Linked DNA regions of Alligator mississippiensis. The protein of the gene in region 1 interacts with the protein of each later gene in a biochemical or structural test. Links are inferred from orthologs where the notes say so. Each region holds a gene or a part of one and is shown in the gene's direction. Other genes may lie near its edges. The genes, in order: TERT and CIB1.

Region 1 (8,137 bases):
ATTGTTGGCAGTACTACCAATTGAATTGTACTGAATACCTTTACTGAAAATAATTATTTTATTTATAGGCATTCAATACCTTCATTGATGATATCTTTGCTTTTATCATTACTATGCCAACATCTCATAGACTGGCATGTTTTAGAGATGATGTTGTGTTCCTGGTCTACCTTTACCAAAGATGGTAAGCTTTTCTCCTATGCCTCTTCTTTGATACATATTTACTATTGCTAGTTAAAATATGAAGATCCATGTAAGTACATCAACCAAAAAATAAAGAAGCAAAAATAATAGTTCAGCAAAGATTTAAAAGTTTCCCTTTTATTGCATACTAATGTATAGTATACTGTGTTTTGAAATCAAGTTAAGTCTCGAACACTTACCAGTCTTTAGATCCTTTTAGAGATCACTCAGACTTTCTTTCAGGACAGCACTTATCCCCAGCCCAATGGCTGATTCTTATTTACATAATTAGGCTTGTCTGCCTTTTAATATTTGCTTGAAAATCCCTGAAGACCAAGTAAGAAGCATGTTCTGGTAAAGCAATTCCTTCAGTAAAATCAAATCTTGCTTTCTTTAAAACAAAATTCTAGCCCTCAGGTTACAAAGATAATTTTGCAAAAATAAACCAATAGCATAATCTTCCCAAATCTGTGGATGATTCCATTGGTTTCTGCTACTCGGTTTTGCCATGCAGCAGAATAAAACTAACCATTTTCCCTGCTGTGCTTCAGACAGAACCTTGTGTTAGTAGCGAGGGTGTCAAGAATTGACTGCAGCTTCATGTTTGTTGGAGGGGGTTATCCAGAAGTAGACTCTCGAGTTATTGTTTAGAGAGTAAGTTTCGAAAAGGAGATGTGGAGAGAAACTTTTCAGTAGTAGCAGAGACCTCCCATCCCCCATTCCTACTCTCAGCCTCTTTCAGCATGCAGTGAGTACTGGAGATCATCTTAATAAGAAGGTTTTGAAGGAGACCCAAGGGGACCTTCCTTCCATCTGTTAAAGGTGGGTTGAGTTTCAGATTTGGAAGCGGAAGATTGTTCTAAAGGATTTTCTACTTGAGGACCTAATAGTGTTCATAGGCTGGCGCTCAGGAGACAAAGCAGATGATGAGCAGGAAATGCTGTTTTAGCAGACTGAGCAGCAATTGATACGGTCTTTTACTAGGGATCAACCCTGCATATAATTAATTCATATTATTTTTTCCGAAAGGCTTTATCCCGTGGATAAGAGCAGAATGAATGAATATGGAGAATGTTATGAAGAAAAGCCGAAAATCCTTAAAAAAAAATTAACATAATTCTAAACGGTTCTTTCCTTGGACTGCTACTGGCTACTTGTATTATCTGGTTTGAAGGAAGAAATAAGATTGGATTGCAAAACAAGAGTATTTTAAAGTTATGACAGGACTTCATGGACAATACATCTTCTACATTGCCAAAATCTATTTTTGATGATTCTCCAACATTTCAAAGTTCCCTTTGTTGATTCCTTGAAGAAGTCTATCAGTGTGTCTGCCAGATGTCACTCAATAGCTAGACTTTTAAATTTTTCCATGAAACTTAAATATTAATTTGTCTTTGTTGTTGTGATGACTCTCTAAATGTGTTTTTTGAAACAGCTTAGTAACTGGAAGTGTGGTGCCTGCACTGACAAGGGGATGCTAAGCCATGAAAACTACAGTAAGCCAGTGGTTAGGTTACAACAGAATTAAGTGTCACTGCAGAACCACATACACATCCAAGTGTGCCACACAAAACCATGTTCAGCTGACACAGGATATGGAAGGTTTGAAGCTGACTGACTTAAGCTATATGTAGGCTTTAAAATAAGCTCACTGCTTCAAATATTCTTCCTGGATGGAAGGGGCAAATAACCTAAATGAACAAAATATATGACAAATATTTGCCAGCCTTTAAGCCCATAATAGGACTTGTATCTTAATTTATTTTTAAAAGGCAGAGGCTTTTCAGTAAGACAAAGGAAAAAAAATCCAAAAATTCATGAGCATGTGCAGCAAATGATTTATTTTTAGTACATATCTAATGTTGCCTAAACTCTTCTTGCATTTGCTAGCACAATACCCTGCAATTTCCCATCAATATAGGTTTTTATATTGGCACGTGAGCCATTGTGGTATACCTCTTGTCTAAATACATGTTTGCATGATAGACACTGTTGTGATCTATTGTGCCAATTCTTTTTCAGGAGAAATGTTTTCTTGGTTCTCTCGATTTCTATAACATTAACATGGAAAAATAAAGCATAATGCATTCAAATAATGGGAAGGTATTTTGTTTGACCCAATAGATGCTCAGAAAATCACCTATGAAAATCAGTGCATAAAATCGTCTTTTAAAAATGTGCCTGTTAAGTTAAGCTGTTTACTAAAGTACATACTTCCAGTAGCAGCAATGTTGCTTAAAAGGCAGTTTCTGTCTAGCTGTCTATCATGTTATCAGTTTGGGTATGTGTTAATCAGATTTCAATTCAGCACTTTAGAGAATGTTTAGACTGTGCTGAAAAGAATGAACATTCAAACTGCAGACAAACAGTATGCATTTAGAGCCCCTATTTATATGGTTTTATGAAGCAAATTTCCATTTAATTGGCTATGCTTGAAAAGACTTATTGCTTCATTAGTGGCAAATAAAATGTCTGATTCTGACAAACAGGTTCACTCCTTGGCAATGCCTTTTGTTTTAAAGAATATTTGGCAACTTTTAATGAACTTAGATTTTTTTTTCTCCAAAAAATGTTGCTGGGTTTTGTGTTTTTGTTTTTTAATTACTCTGTTTTTATTGGAGTCTGTCAACTTATTTTAACTTCAAGATGCCACTAATTCAAAATGTAAATGATAAATGATGATTTGTTTCATGAAATAGCTTTTTACCATATCCTAATGTTATGGTGGTCCATAGGCACTTGTTTTGGTTGTTCACGAGAACACAGGAATATGCCTGCCTGACTTGTCTCACTGATGTAAGCAGACCCTTTTATACCAATGCAGCATAATAAAGGAGCCTAACAAGAGAGATGAATTTAACTTGTGCCCAGTTCAAGGCCTCTTTATACTGGCAGCCATATACGGGAGCTTTAACGAAAACAGAATCAGGCAGTGAGACTATCAGCAACACTGTGGCATGTCCATAAATATTGGTAGGATTGGGACTATAGTTCATATAAACCATGCATTTATTTTATCCTGATGCCAGCTACTGCTCTTTGTTATTAGAGACTTGTCTCATCTGTTTCATAATAAATGATATTTTTATGTGTTGAAAATAATTGTCCTATTAAATAATTTATTGAATGTACCCTTTTGTGACATTTTAAAATCAATTTGAGGTGACCTCTGAAAGTCTAACTTACTGTAGTCAGGTACTTTTAATATTTCAGCATTCCTTTTCTGCATGTAATTATTTGAAAATCATTCCTTAGTCTTTGTCTTGCCAGGTTTTTTTATTATCCTTTGTAACTTTCCATATGTTCCATAACTTTCCGATCGTGATAAGTGATGAATCAATCACTTCACGTGCAACGTGGCCATGCTGAGTATAAGGTTTGAGGTTTTAAGGCAACAAGGCTTTGTGAAGCTCTAATGAGTCAATAATTTGTTTTCTGCAGTCATGGTACAAATAAAGCATTTATGTCTGAGACTAACTGAGTTCTGATTTCTTATTGGAAAGGATGTGAGAGAGAATTTGTGTTACTGATGGTCGTGATGCATAGACTAAACGAAATAAACACTTTCCAATGCAGTAATCTTTTTAATAATCTTACAGAAACCATGGAGAAACATCCAAGTGAATATTTTGAGTGTTTGTGTACTTAAAAACACTCCTGCTTAAAAATATCTCAGTGTTACAGATGTGGAAGTGAGTGCCATGAATCATGCTCTCTAAACCACTGACCATTTTTGTTGCTTTCCACTGGACTCTTTCCAATTTATCCATGTTTCAAGGTGCAGTGCAGCCAACTGGATACAGTGCTCCAATTGAGCCTGCACCAGTGCTGAAAAGAGCTGGAGTTGCTTTTCTGGATGGGCAAGGGACACTCTTGTTCGTACCTAGTATGCTATTGCCTTTTTTTGCAATAAGAGCACCTTGTGGATTGATTCAGCTTGTGCACTATAATGCACCCCTTTTTTTGTAGGACAGTACCCTAACTAGTAGATTTAGATGAGAAAGTCACCATTTAGAGCAGGTTACTGCTACTTTACCACTGGTTTTTATGCCTAGTTTCCCTAGGTTTTCATTAAAGATGGCAATAATGCAGTTCTACTACCACGGTGTATGTTTTTATTAAATGCTATCTATGGCTTATCATTTCACAACCTTGCCATTGTCCTTTAGCCCCAGTGTCTTGTAAATGTGTCAGTCAATGTAGGAGAGGCCAGGATTTCTTAGGGTGTTTGTTAGTTTTCCTTGGACCAACTGTGTAGTACAGTTGGACACATTTTCGAGAACTTTTTTCCTCAGACAAAGCACGCAAGACAAAAATTGCTTTCAAAAGCTTGCCTAACTCTACTACACAGTTGGTTCAACACAAGATATTGCCCTAAAAAATACTTGCCCCTCATAACCTGGACCATCACGGCTTAAAACATCACGGACACGATCAGTAAAAGTAGGTCTTCACTGGGGCTGAGTCAGGAAGGCTCTTCCGCCCAGGAAAACACAGATCTGTTAGTGGGAGAGGTGGACAAGTTGCAGCTGGAGGCTGGTGCAATGCGCGCAGGTAGAAGCAAGGCGGCGGATGAAGAGGAGAGGCAGCACTGCAGCGCCTCACTCCACCGGCTCTTGCTTCAGATCCAGATCTAGATCTAGACCTAGCCCTCCCGGGGCCGGGTCATCCTTCGCTGGGCGCTAGGCAAGCAGACTCGCTGGCCCCGGTGCTGAGACTGGGAGGCGGTAGCCGCCACCGCCCCCACGTGCGAGTTGCCGGGCGGGAGGCTGGAGGCGGGGCTCGCACGTGTGTCCGCCCCGCCCCCTCCCGCGGCTCGCGGAGCATGAGAGGCAGGGACCGGGTCGGCCGGGGGCAGCATGGCGGGTCGTGGGCCGCTGGCGGTGCTGCGCGGCTGCTACGCGGAGACGCTGGCGCTGGAGGCCTTCGTGCAGCGGGAGCAGGTGGCGGCCGGGGTCGGGGCCGGGGCCGGGCCGGAGCTGGTGCGGCCCGCGGACCCCGCGATCTACCGCGCCTTCGCGGAGCGCCTCGTGGTGGCGGTGCCGTGGGGCGCCCGCGCCCTGCCCCGCCCGCTCTGCTTCCGCCAGGTATCCCCGGGGGCGGGCGGGCCACGGCATGGCACGGGGGGGGAGGGCGCCGCCTGCTCGCTTCTGCCCGCTGTGGCGGCCCCGGGGCCCCTGCGCCCTCGCCCGCCCTGGGCTTGGGAGAGGAGGCGGCCGCGGCGGCGGCACCCGCGCGCGCACCGGGCCCCCGCGTCCCTGCACACGTCCTGCTCCCCTCCGCGCATCCCGCCGCTTCCTCTTCACACACGCACTTGTTCTCAGTGTCCCCCTACACATGCACACGCATTGTTCCCCCTACACACGCACGCCCATTCCCCCTGCACCCCCCCTTGTTCCTCTTGCGTACCCCCCCCGATTGTTCTCCTCACACACACTCATTGTTCCCCCCCTCACACACACAGATTGTTTCCCCCTCCACACATGAGCACACAGCAGTGGGGCAGGGGGGTGTTCCAGTCCCAGGAGGGAAGGCATTTAGGCTGGGGGAAGGGAGCTGGCACTCTCCTCTCTTTTCCCCTCCCAAGAGAAGATGCTGCCCTGAGGTGGGGGCCTGGCTTGAGGATGTCCTGAGCAAGGATCCTGGTTTTCTGTGATTTTAAAGAAAAAAATTCTCAATTTTCCGTTAAAAAAGGTACACCCAAATCCATATTTTTCTGTGATTTAAAAAAAAAAAAATGTAACACCTCTATATATATATATATATATATATATATAAATGAAACACCACTATAATATATATATATATATATATATCACAGAAAATTGTGGCTTTGGGCATACCTTTTTTTTAAACTGAAAATTGGGCATTTTTTTTTAATCTGAGAGAGCCAGGATCCCTGCTCATGAGGTCTCTCCAAGTTCAAGGCACCCCGGGGTATTGCTGCAAGAGGGCTGTCCCTGCAGTTTTAAAATGAGGTTGGACCAATGATTTTCTACCAGCGTGTGGCCGTGCCCTTGGGGTGTCTTGAGATCCTCTTGGGGGTGCCACAAGGTGTCACGCAAGGCTAGCACTATCAGGTGTGCTACACAGATTCATAAGATGTACTCGGAGATTTCAGACAGGAACCCAGAGTGTCAAAAGCGTTCTGACTGGCTCTTGTCTTTCTGAGGCCTTTGGTCTATTTATAGTAAAAAAACCCCAGTGAAAACTAGGAGCTGGTATTTTTCAAGGGGGGGGACCTCAGGTCTCTTCGGGTGGGGGAGTCATGTTTCCTGAGGGGTGCCTTGAGTCTAAAAAGGTTGAGAACCACTGCTATCAGCCGTGCAAGGGTTGGGGGAAGGGATTCCTCTTTCCCTGCTGAAGTGAGAGCACAAGGTTCCTGGTCCCTAAACTGGGATTGGGTAAAACAGAAGGTTAGGTGTCCACGGCTTATTTGCTCTGCTCTTTCTCGTGAAGTAACATTTAAAAATTGAAAAGGAACAGCCTCTGTTGTAATTGGGGCTGAATAATGCAATTCTCGTGTTGCAGAAAGAGAAGGGCGATCCCTTTCTGTTGTGTTCAGTAAACAGGAGAGGAAGATTTTGCAGACTTCTCTAAGTTGCTGCATAAACAAAGCTATTCTTCTGTTGACCTGTTTGATTCTCATGAATTGAGATAATTTAATTCATGTTTCTGGAGGGATTGGTCTGTGGTATAGTAAATGCTGTAAATGCAAATTGGTAGATCCTCTGACCTGAGGATCCTGCAGTCTAAACAGACAGGATGGACTGTGGGTGAGGAGAGAGCATTATCCCAGTTCTGTGAAGGGGGAGGGAGTAAGTGACTTGCCCAAATTCTTCATCCCTGCTTTCAGGGTACAAAAGTCTGTAACATTTGAAAATGCCTGATGCAGTGTGGCATGTGCAGGCTGATCAACTTGTTTTCAAGAGTCATAATCGACAACCAGAGTCTGGGGCTAAGCACGCATGCTTTTGAAGGTGGATTTGTGGTTTGTCCCCCCAAAAAAAGTCTTAGGCAAAGTTAACTTTTTGTTTTATTTTTTCCCTTTTCAGCTCTCTGCTATGAGTGACGTTGTCAAAAGAGTTGTTCAGAGACTTTGTGAAAAAAAGAAGAAGAATGTGCTTGCGTTTGGGTATTCCTTAGCAGATGAAAACACTTCTCATTTGCTGGTTACATCTACTGTAGGTCTATGCAACTACCTTCCTAATACTTCAACAGAAGCTCTTCACACTGATGGCCTCTGGGAAACATTACTGAGCAGGATAGGGGATGACCTGATGATGTATTTGTTGGAACACTGTGCTGTCTTTATGCTAGTGCCTCCTAGCTGCTGTTACCAAATCTGTGGACTGCCTCTCTATGAACTCATTTCAAATAACTTGGAACCATCCCCAGTGTTTGTTAAGCAAGCATATTCAAAGCGTAGAAAGAATGTATTGCTTGATTATGTGCAAAAGTCTAAGTTTCGTAGGAATTACCTGTCCCAGACAAATTGGAAATGCAAGAAGAGCTCTGAAATAAGTAATGTGATGACAGGGAGGCAAAAGAGTAAAAAATCAGGAGTCCCCATGTCTAGTGATCAGCATTTTGCTACAGCTGAGGAAACTGTTGGACAGAATAGTAGGACAAGTGAACAAGACAAGATGTCAACAGGAGACCTGGGAAGTTGGAGAAGCCCTGGCTTATATCCAGCAGCTGCAGTTGCACCTTTCAAACGAAAACGTGGTGGGGACCAGCTTGAGATTTCAGTCAAAAGGGTGAAGATAACAGCAGAAGAGCTGGAGAAAGAAACTGAGAGACTTGGTTCTAATGTAGACAAAAACAAATCCCAAGTCGCTGGCTTGGGATACATAGAATCATTTCCTCAGGGGAGCGAGGGTAGTTCATCAAGAGTGCCTGCTTCTCGTCAAGCATTAGACACTCATGATAGCCAGAAGTTTGTAGCAAA
Region 2 (7,342 bases), on another chromosome or scaffold:
TCTTACAGTCAAGCACCAGCTATGCATACACACGAACCGCTGTGAAAGAGCACGGTGCGGCCAGTGGGACGATGGGTCATGCCGTGGTCCCTGCCTGCCACGCTGGGTCCCAGCTAGGTAGCTCTGACAGACACACAAGCATGCCGCACCTCATGCGAGGCACGTGGGCTTTGGTCTGGGAGGCTGGGGAGCTCCCGACGGTGAAAGGAAAGCAGGAGGCAGCCGGCCATCTGGGCTCCAGCGCCTCCCTCACAGGTTGCTTGGCCTGGGAACCAGGAAGCAGAGGCCTGGCAGCGCAGGGGCGCCGGGGCCGCTCACCTTACTCTTTTCTTTCTCTTTCTCAGCTCGGTCCCCACGACACGGTGCTCTGCCACTCGTCTTTCTGGGCCAAGCGGGGACGCTGGCAGAGCTGTCCGCCCCCAGCCCAGCTTGCCCGCGTCCCTCGGCTCCAAGGCCCCCTGCTGAGGAGCGCTGTCCGCAAGCGCCGTTTTACTTTCTCCGCTGCACCCTGCGGTGCTTCCCCGGGAAGACTCCTCTGACTGAGCCCCTTCCTCGTCTTCGTCCTCATCCGTCTCGTTCGCGGAAACGCTGCTGTCCTTGGAGGCCATCTTCCCCGCGCGGGGTTCGCTTACGGAGCTGTACGGAACGAGCTCGTCAGCACGCGACGCACGAGCGTGCCAGACCTGCGAGCGCCGCGTGTGCCGCACGCACCAGGCCAAGGGCCGGCCACTGGGTCACCCGCCATTGCCAGCTCTTTCCCACACCCGAGAGCCAGCGCGCGGTCTGAGCCTTGCACAGCGGGCACCGCATCTCCGGTGAAGACCGCGCGGCAGCAACGGCACCCTAGTGCAGACCCACCCCGCCCCGCTCCCGTCTCAGGGAAAGCGAGGTTGGAAGGGTCGCATCCGGTCCCGCTCTCAGGCGGTGTTGCGCCAGGCTCCGCGCGCAGACCTCGGACTCTGCACCGCCCCCAGCTCCCCTGGGGCAGCCCCCCCTCCCCCCGCAGGCGTCGAGCCCAGGCCCCTCCTGCCACGTGCATCGCACCCACAGAGGGCGTGGCCCGCATCGCCCCGCCCACGGGGTTGGCCCCGCCCCTGCTCCCGGGGGGGGAGGTGCCTCACCAGGCCCCGGGGCGGCTCCCTCCAGCCCCGACGCCGTCTCCATGGCGACAGGAGGTTCCGCCGCCGGCAGGAAGCCAAGCGTTGGGGGCGGGGCCTCAGCAACCATAGAGAGAGGCCCCCTCCCCTCCCGCCGCCTAGAACAGCGCCAAGGCGGAAGCACAGATAGGCGCCTGCGAATTGGCTGAGAATCGGAGCGTCCGCCCGCCTCCTCTCGCCTCATTGGCCAGCGCCCCCGGGGAAGGCCGCGAGCGCTCCCAGCATGCCTTGCTGGACGGGCAGCGGCCCGGAAGTGGGGGAGCACGTGGGCCAGCGGGGAGGGGAGTGGGGCGGGGCGGGGTAGGGTAGGGTAGGGGTGCTGCCGGGTGCAGAGCGCGGGTTACGGGCTGATCGCAAGCGCGAGGCCGGGCCCCGCCACTGACCCCGGGGTCCTGGTTTTCTCCCATGTAAGAGAATCCCACATTTTTGGATTCAGAAGCTACCCACGTTTCCATGATTCAAATACACCACCACTAATACACGGATGTATGTAGAGCGGCGTTTTATTTTAATCGGGGAAAACTGGGTTTTGGGTTCCTCTTTTAAATCTGGAAATTGGGGGTTTCTTTTAAATCAGAGAACACCGGGACCCCTGCTGATTTAGTAATTAGCACCAATCCCCCCTCACTAATCACCAGTCACTGATTACAAGAGGTGCCCGAGCCACTGCCAGGACACCACGTGCAGCCCCCCCAGCCCTTCCTGGGACACGGGGCCACGTGCGGTTCTTGAATGAATCACATGGACTTGGAATTAATTTGGCTGGCTTGGTTTGGGTCATCTGTTTTTCCTTAAAAAATAATAATATCGAGAGGCAGGAGTTGTGCAGAGACCCGCTCCCTCCCTGCAGGCTGCAGCACCCGAGCCCCCACCCGGAGGGGTGCCCCCCCCACTTCCACAGGAGTTACAGAGCACGCTGGCTGGGCTGGGCTGGGCGAGTCAGGCCCCACAGCTGAGGGATGAGCCCCCCTGGCAGTTAGCCCGTGAGCAGCGTCACCAGCTCGTCCTGGAGCCGGGAGAGTTGGGGCGCCGGGAGGAGGTATTTCTGGATGGTGCACAGGGCCGAGCGCTCCGTCAGGCTCTGGAAGTCCTGGGCGGTTTTGACTGGCAGATGCCCTGCCAGCTCACAGAGGGCTACGTTAAATGCCGCTTCCTCCTTGGCCCCGAAGCAGGACTTCCTGGCCCAGACAACCACCCGAACTCCAGATCGGGCTGCCGAGCGGGCTGGCTCCCCAGGGGCAGTTCCCCGCGTCACAAACACATTGTGTGCAATCTCGTTCTCCACCAGGTAGTCGGTGACTCGGCAGGCAGCACGTGCCAAGGCCCCCAGCCCTCGCCCCTCGCCGTAGAACAGGAACCCCGGGGCTGGCACGCCCTGCAGCAGGTGGAAGTTGAGAGCAGGGCACAGGGGCTTGCTCGGGGCCGACTCAATTAGGAGCTCCCAGTCCAGGTAGAAGCCGTGCAGGTGCAAGTGGTTGACAGAGGCCAAGGCTCCCAGGCTGTTGAAGCCTACACGGAAACCTGGGTGAGCGCTGAGGAGAACAGCTTCCAGTCCAAAGTGGAGCAGCTCCTGGGTGAGAATCTGAGGCAGGCAGAGCGTGGGGTCTGGAATAAGAAGCACGTGCCCAAATTCCAGGGGACTGACATTAATCACCACCAGGACACGGTTAGGCGTCTCTGGGAGCCTGGGCTCAGCACCATCCTGGGCCGGAGCCTGCCCCCCCGCTGGCACGTGGGGACTGGGGCTCCTGGTCAGGCAGAAGAGGATCTCCCCTGGCTTGATCTTACTGAAGTGGAATTGCTGCGGGTCAAACCTCTGCCTCACGCTCTGGATGTCCTGTGGCTTCCTCCGCTCCAGTCCCCTCTGGATGTTCAGCTGGGCCACAAAGTGCATCTCGCCAGGCAAGATGCGGGTCTGCAGCTCCCCCAGGGGATACCGGAACAAGCCCTGCTTCATCCTGCGCTCCCAGCCAGACTGCAATGCGTGGTCGAAGTGGGACACGGCGCGGCTTGCCAGCCCATCTGGCCTGCTTCTCCCCCACCCAACCCCCTGCAGAACAAAGTCCTCTTCGCTATAGACAAAGTCCTCCAGGCCGGAGGCAGCGGGGTGCTCCGGCTGCTCCTGAGCGTGCAACATTTCCTGGGGAGCTTGGCCTGCACGCAGTGACGCGGTCGAGTTACCTGCTCTGCTCCCCCGCTGCTGCTGCTCTGAAAGAGGCAACGGGACAAGTCCGTGGGAATTCAGGGACCACAGACGAGCCAGTCAGATTGTTTGCCGCGACCCAAGCAAACCCCCTCCCCCGTCTGAGAAGCACTCCCCCTCCCTGGTGAGCCCCACTTCCTAAAGCACCTGCCGAGAGCCTGCTCCCCTAGCCCACCCCCGTGCAGGCGGCCTGGCAGGATGGGCACCGGGGGTCACAGAGACGGCTCCACAGCTCAGCCTGGCACGGTGGTCACCACCCTGCCCCTGCCCAGGCCACAGCGGAGCCGTCTCCTCCCCGCTGCGCTGCCCCCAGCCCTGGCAGCCGGTCTCCATCGTGCCAGACGCTGCAGAGGGAGCCGCGCCCAAGTGCTCCACGGGCAAGCCTCTGGGGCCGGCGGCCGGGCGCGCTGAGCTGGCTCAGCCCGAGCAGGGATCCCGCAGCCCCGGCCAACCTGCTGTGCGGGCTGCCCCGGAGCCGCGGTTTCCCGCAAGCTCGTCCCGCCGTCTTCCGGCACGGCAACTCGTTCCCCCCGGGCCGGGAGCCGCGGCCCTTCCCGCCAGCCCGCGCCGGGCCTCGTCCTGCGGGAGCCCGGCCGCAGCAGCGCCTACTCACCCGGCGCGGGGCCCTTTAAGAGCGGGGCGTTGCCATGGGAGCAGGTTCCGGGAAGCTGTGACGTCGCGGCAGCGGATACAGTGTTGCCATGGGGGGCTCGGCCAGCAGCGTGCCGCCGGACCTGCTCGGCGAGTACCAGGTGCCGGGGCCGGGCGGGGGTCGGGGCCGGGGGCCGGGGGTCGGGGCCGGGGCCGGGCGCGGCGGGTAACGCTGCCTCCTCGCCCCGCAGGAGCTGACGTTCCTGACCAAGCAGGAGATCCTGATGTGAGTAGGGACGGGGCGGGCAGGGGACGCGTCCGCACGCGCTGCCACAGCCCGCTTCTCCGCCGGAGGGGCGAGGTGCCTTCGGGCTGCTGCGCAAACCCGGCTCCAGAAACCCGAGACGCCGGGTCGGGGGCCGGGCGGCCCGTGGCACCTGCCGCGCAGAGCTCAGCTGGCACCTTCCCAGAGCGGCTGGAGCAAAGGGGCGAGCGGCGCGGGGTGGCAGCCCCGTCCGCCTCTCCCTGCTCCTGTGCCCGAGTCCGGGGCTGGCACGCCTTGGCCCCAGGGCAGAGCTGGCAGCAGCTCACGGTGGCTGTTGCTTTCAGTGGTGCCAGCGTTGCTTCGCAGGCGAAGCAGGAAGCAGGACGCAGGGAGCGGCTGGGCTGTGCCCCCCCGCCCTGGGGCTGTGGGCACCGGCGCAAAGGTCCTCGGGCTCCGTGCAGGGCGTGGGCTCATGCTGCTTTGCTGCGCTGGGATAGCTGGCACAGCCCCAGCCCCATCGCTGGGGAGCTCCGCACAGAGCTGCGTGCAGCGAAACGGTCCCAGAGTGTCTGGCACGTGGGTCTGTGTCTGTGCACCTACCCGGGGTGCAGCTGCCCTGGGCGGGCTCCCGCTGTGGCTGAGCCTGGCCCTGCACTACAGGCTGCCCTAGAGCAGCGCTCATTCTTGTCTCTCGAAGCGCCCACAAGAGATTCAGCGAGCTGGTGCCCAAGGAGGAGAGGGATCAAATCCTGTCGGCGCGGGTCCCCAAGGACAAGGTCGTCACGCTGCCTGAGCTGAGGGTAGGGCACGTGCCCCCACTCCTTTGCCTGCCCCTCCCCTCAGCCTGTGAGGCAGCTGGGCCAGTCCGCTGTGCTTGGGTCTGGCCCCAGGCGCAGGCCCAGCCCCTCGGGGCAGCCCCTGTTCACCATCCTGGAGGTCAGCCTGGTAACAGATGCAAGGGGGGAGCCGGTCATCCCCTGCCGCACTGTCCAGTCACCGCCTGGAAGCCAGCTTCCTCTTCCCTGCTGAGCTGTAGGGATGTCAGAGCTTCCAGAGGGATTGGGGTGCATCGGGACTGTAGCCAGGCACATTTCCAGGTCATAGCAAGTTCCAAGGGCTGTGGTGCAGTCTCTGATTGAGCTTGGGTGATCCTCTACTCTGCTGAGGCACGTAGCCTGTTTCCAGCCAGACGTGCAGCTGAAAGCGCAGAATTGCCCCTGCCCTGTGCCAGGGAGCTCCTGCCCTCTCAGTGATCCTCTCTGTGCCTCCAGGCAAACCCGTTCCAGCACCGGATCTGCCGAGTCTTCTCCACGGCGGAGGATGGGGACGACAGCCTGTCCTTTGAGGACTTCCTGGACATGCTGAGCGTCTTCAGTGATGCCGCCACCTCGGAGATCAAGTCCCACTATGCCTTCCGCATCTTCGGTAAAGACCTGGGGCCAGGGGGGATATGCAGCTCACGGGGCCGGCACAGAGATGAGCTCTGCTCCAGGTCCAGCTTGCACAAGGAGGGGCCCAGGAGGAACTTTTGCTCTGTGCAAGCTGGGCCTTGCAGCCCAGCCCCACGCGAGCCCAGGGCCAGCAAAGGGTGGAGCCCCTGAGCCTCCAACCTGACCCATCTCCAAGCTACAGGGCCATTGCCAGGGAAATGGGATCATAGCTGGTTCTCCCCTTTCTCCCCTCCCCGCCCCCCACAAAGATTTTGATGATGACGGGACGCTGGACAGGAAGGACCTGGAGAACCTGGTGAATTGCCTGACAGGGGATGCAGACGGGACCCGGCTGAGCACCTCGGAGATGGACCAGCTCATCCAGAACGTGAGCATGCAGGCCCCGGCTGGGTGGGGGGCAGGGCCGTGCTGCCCTGCCGGTGCTCGTGGCTGACATCTCTTTTTCTTTCAGATCCTGGAGGAGTCCGACATCGACAAGGATGGGACCATCAACCTCTCGGAGTTCCAGCACGTCATTTCCCGCTCTCCTGACTTCGCTAGGTACGGCTGCCCTCGCTGCCCTGCCCAAGAGCCCCTTGTCTGCCCTGACCAGGCAGAGCAGAGGAGGAAGGGGCAGTAGCCCCATTATCACTAAGGCCCAGAGCCTGCGATGGCTGGGGTCACAGAAGTCTGCTGCTGAGCTGGGCATGACCCCAGGTCTCTGGCTAGTGTCTCACAGCTCTGAACAAGAGCCTGATGCCCCCACCCTGCTGTGCAGAGGGCAGTGGGGGACGTAGCTCTCCTGTCCCCAGGCAGAGACCAAGCCCACCCTTCCCTCCCCTTGTAAAGCCTCCCACCTGCTCTTTCCTGGCTGCCAAGCTCCACTGCTGTGGGTGCGGGGAGAGCAGCTTGTCTAGCTGTGGGCAGCAGGGATGTAGGGATTTGCTCTGCTGCGAGCAGACACGACCTGGGAGGCCAGGGCTGCGCTGCGGGAGCCAGTGCTGGTGCTAGACATGAGCTGGCTGCTCCCCTTGGCCCAGCACGGTCGGTCCTTCTCTTTCAGCTCCTTCAAGATTGTGCTGTGATGGCTCCTGCAGCCCATCTCCCCCCTGCCCCGCCCCAGCCTGCTGCAGAGCTCGGCGCTGGCCCTGCACAGCAGCTGGCCCCTTCCTCTTCTCGTGACCAAAGCCAATGCATGGGCGATGCCGGCGCCTGTCCTAGTGCCTTACACCAGCCCCGCGGGCTGTGCCTCCTGCGCTCCTCCTGCTGCACGGGGGAGGGACGCAGGCTTCTTTCTCTGCTGCAGCCCAGCTCAAGCTGCCCTTGTCCTCACAGCCTCAGGCCTGGAGATCTAAGCAGGGGCTACCGGGCCCAGGATAGAGCACGGCAGGCTGGGACGTGCAGTCTCCAGGGCCACGTGTACTCCCTGCCTCTTGTGCTGATTGAGGTGTAGCCCATAGCTGGGCACAACACTGACACCCTACACTGGAGCAGAGATCTCTCGCTGGGAGACTGTCACCTCCTGCTCCGTGTGAATCTCAAGCACCGATTTGTGCCTTCCATGAGCAGCCTGGGAGCTACAGCTCTGGCAGGGGTCCCGCTGGCACTGTCCCTCCTCGCTGCCTCCTTGGGGTGGTCTGAGGCCACAGCCCGGGCTGTAGCAAACCTGCCTCATTTCTCTAAGCAATAATGTACC

The links.
Region 2: the proteins of TERT (region 1) and CIB1 form a complex in vitro, tested with the Homo sapiens proteins (2 studies listed by BioGRID). The link is inferred for Alligator mississippiensis from reciprocal best matches to the Homo sapiens genes TERT and CIB1.

The regions. Positions count from the first base shown.
Region 1 is NC_081826.1:140,165,661-140,173,797, reverse strand, and holds the start of TERT (telomerase reverse transcriptase), read left to right. Parts: upstream 1-4,860; 5' UTR 4,861-5,045; coding exon 5,046-5,273; intron 5,274-7,241; coding exon 7,242-8,137. Other genes in the region: lipid scramblase CLPTM1L, read left to right, coding at 69-184, 1,213-1,300. UniProt on the Homo sapiens protein: Telomerase is a ribonucleoprotein enzyme essential for the replication of chromosome termini in most eukaryotes. Active in progenitor and cancer cells. Inactive, or very low activity, in normal somatic cells.
Region 2 is NC_081834.1:856,321-863,662, forward strand, and holds the start of CIB1 (calcium and integrin-binding protein 1), read left to right. Parts: upstream 1-4,002; 5' UTR 4,003-4,061; coding exon 4,062-4,112; intron 4,113-4,202; coding exon 4,203-4,237; intron 4,238-4,913; coding exon 4,914-5,016; intron 5,017-5,487; coding exon 5,488-5,641; intron 5,642-5,915; coding exon 5,916-6,034; intron 6,035-6,118; coding exon 6,119-6,207; intron 6,208-6,709; coding exon 6,710-6,731; 3' UTR 6,732-7,342. Other genes in the region: tubulin polyglutamylase TTLL13, read right to left, coding at 319-608; GDPGP1 (GDP-D-glucose phosphorylase 1), read right to left, coding at 2,134-3,294. UniProt on the Homo sapiens protein: Calcium-binding protein that plays a role in the regulation of numerous cellular processes, such as cell differentiation, cell division, cell proliferation, cell migration, thrombosis, angiogenesis, cardiac hypertrophy and apoptosis.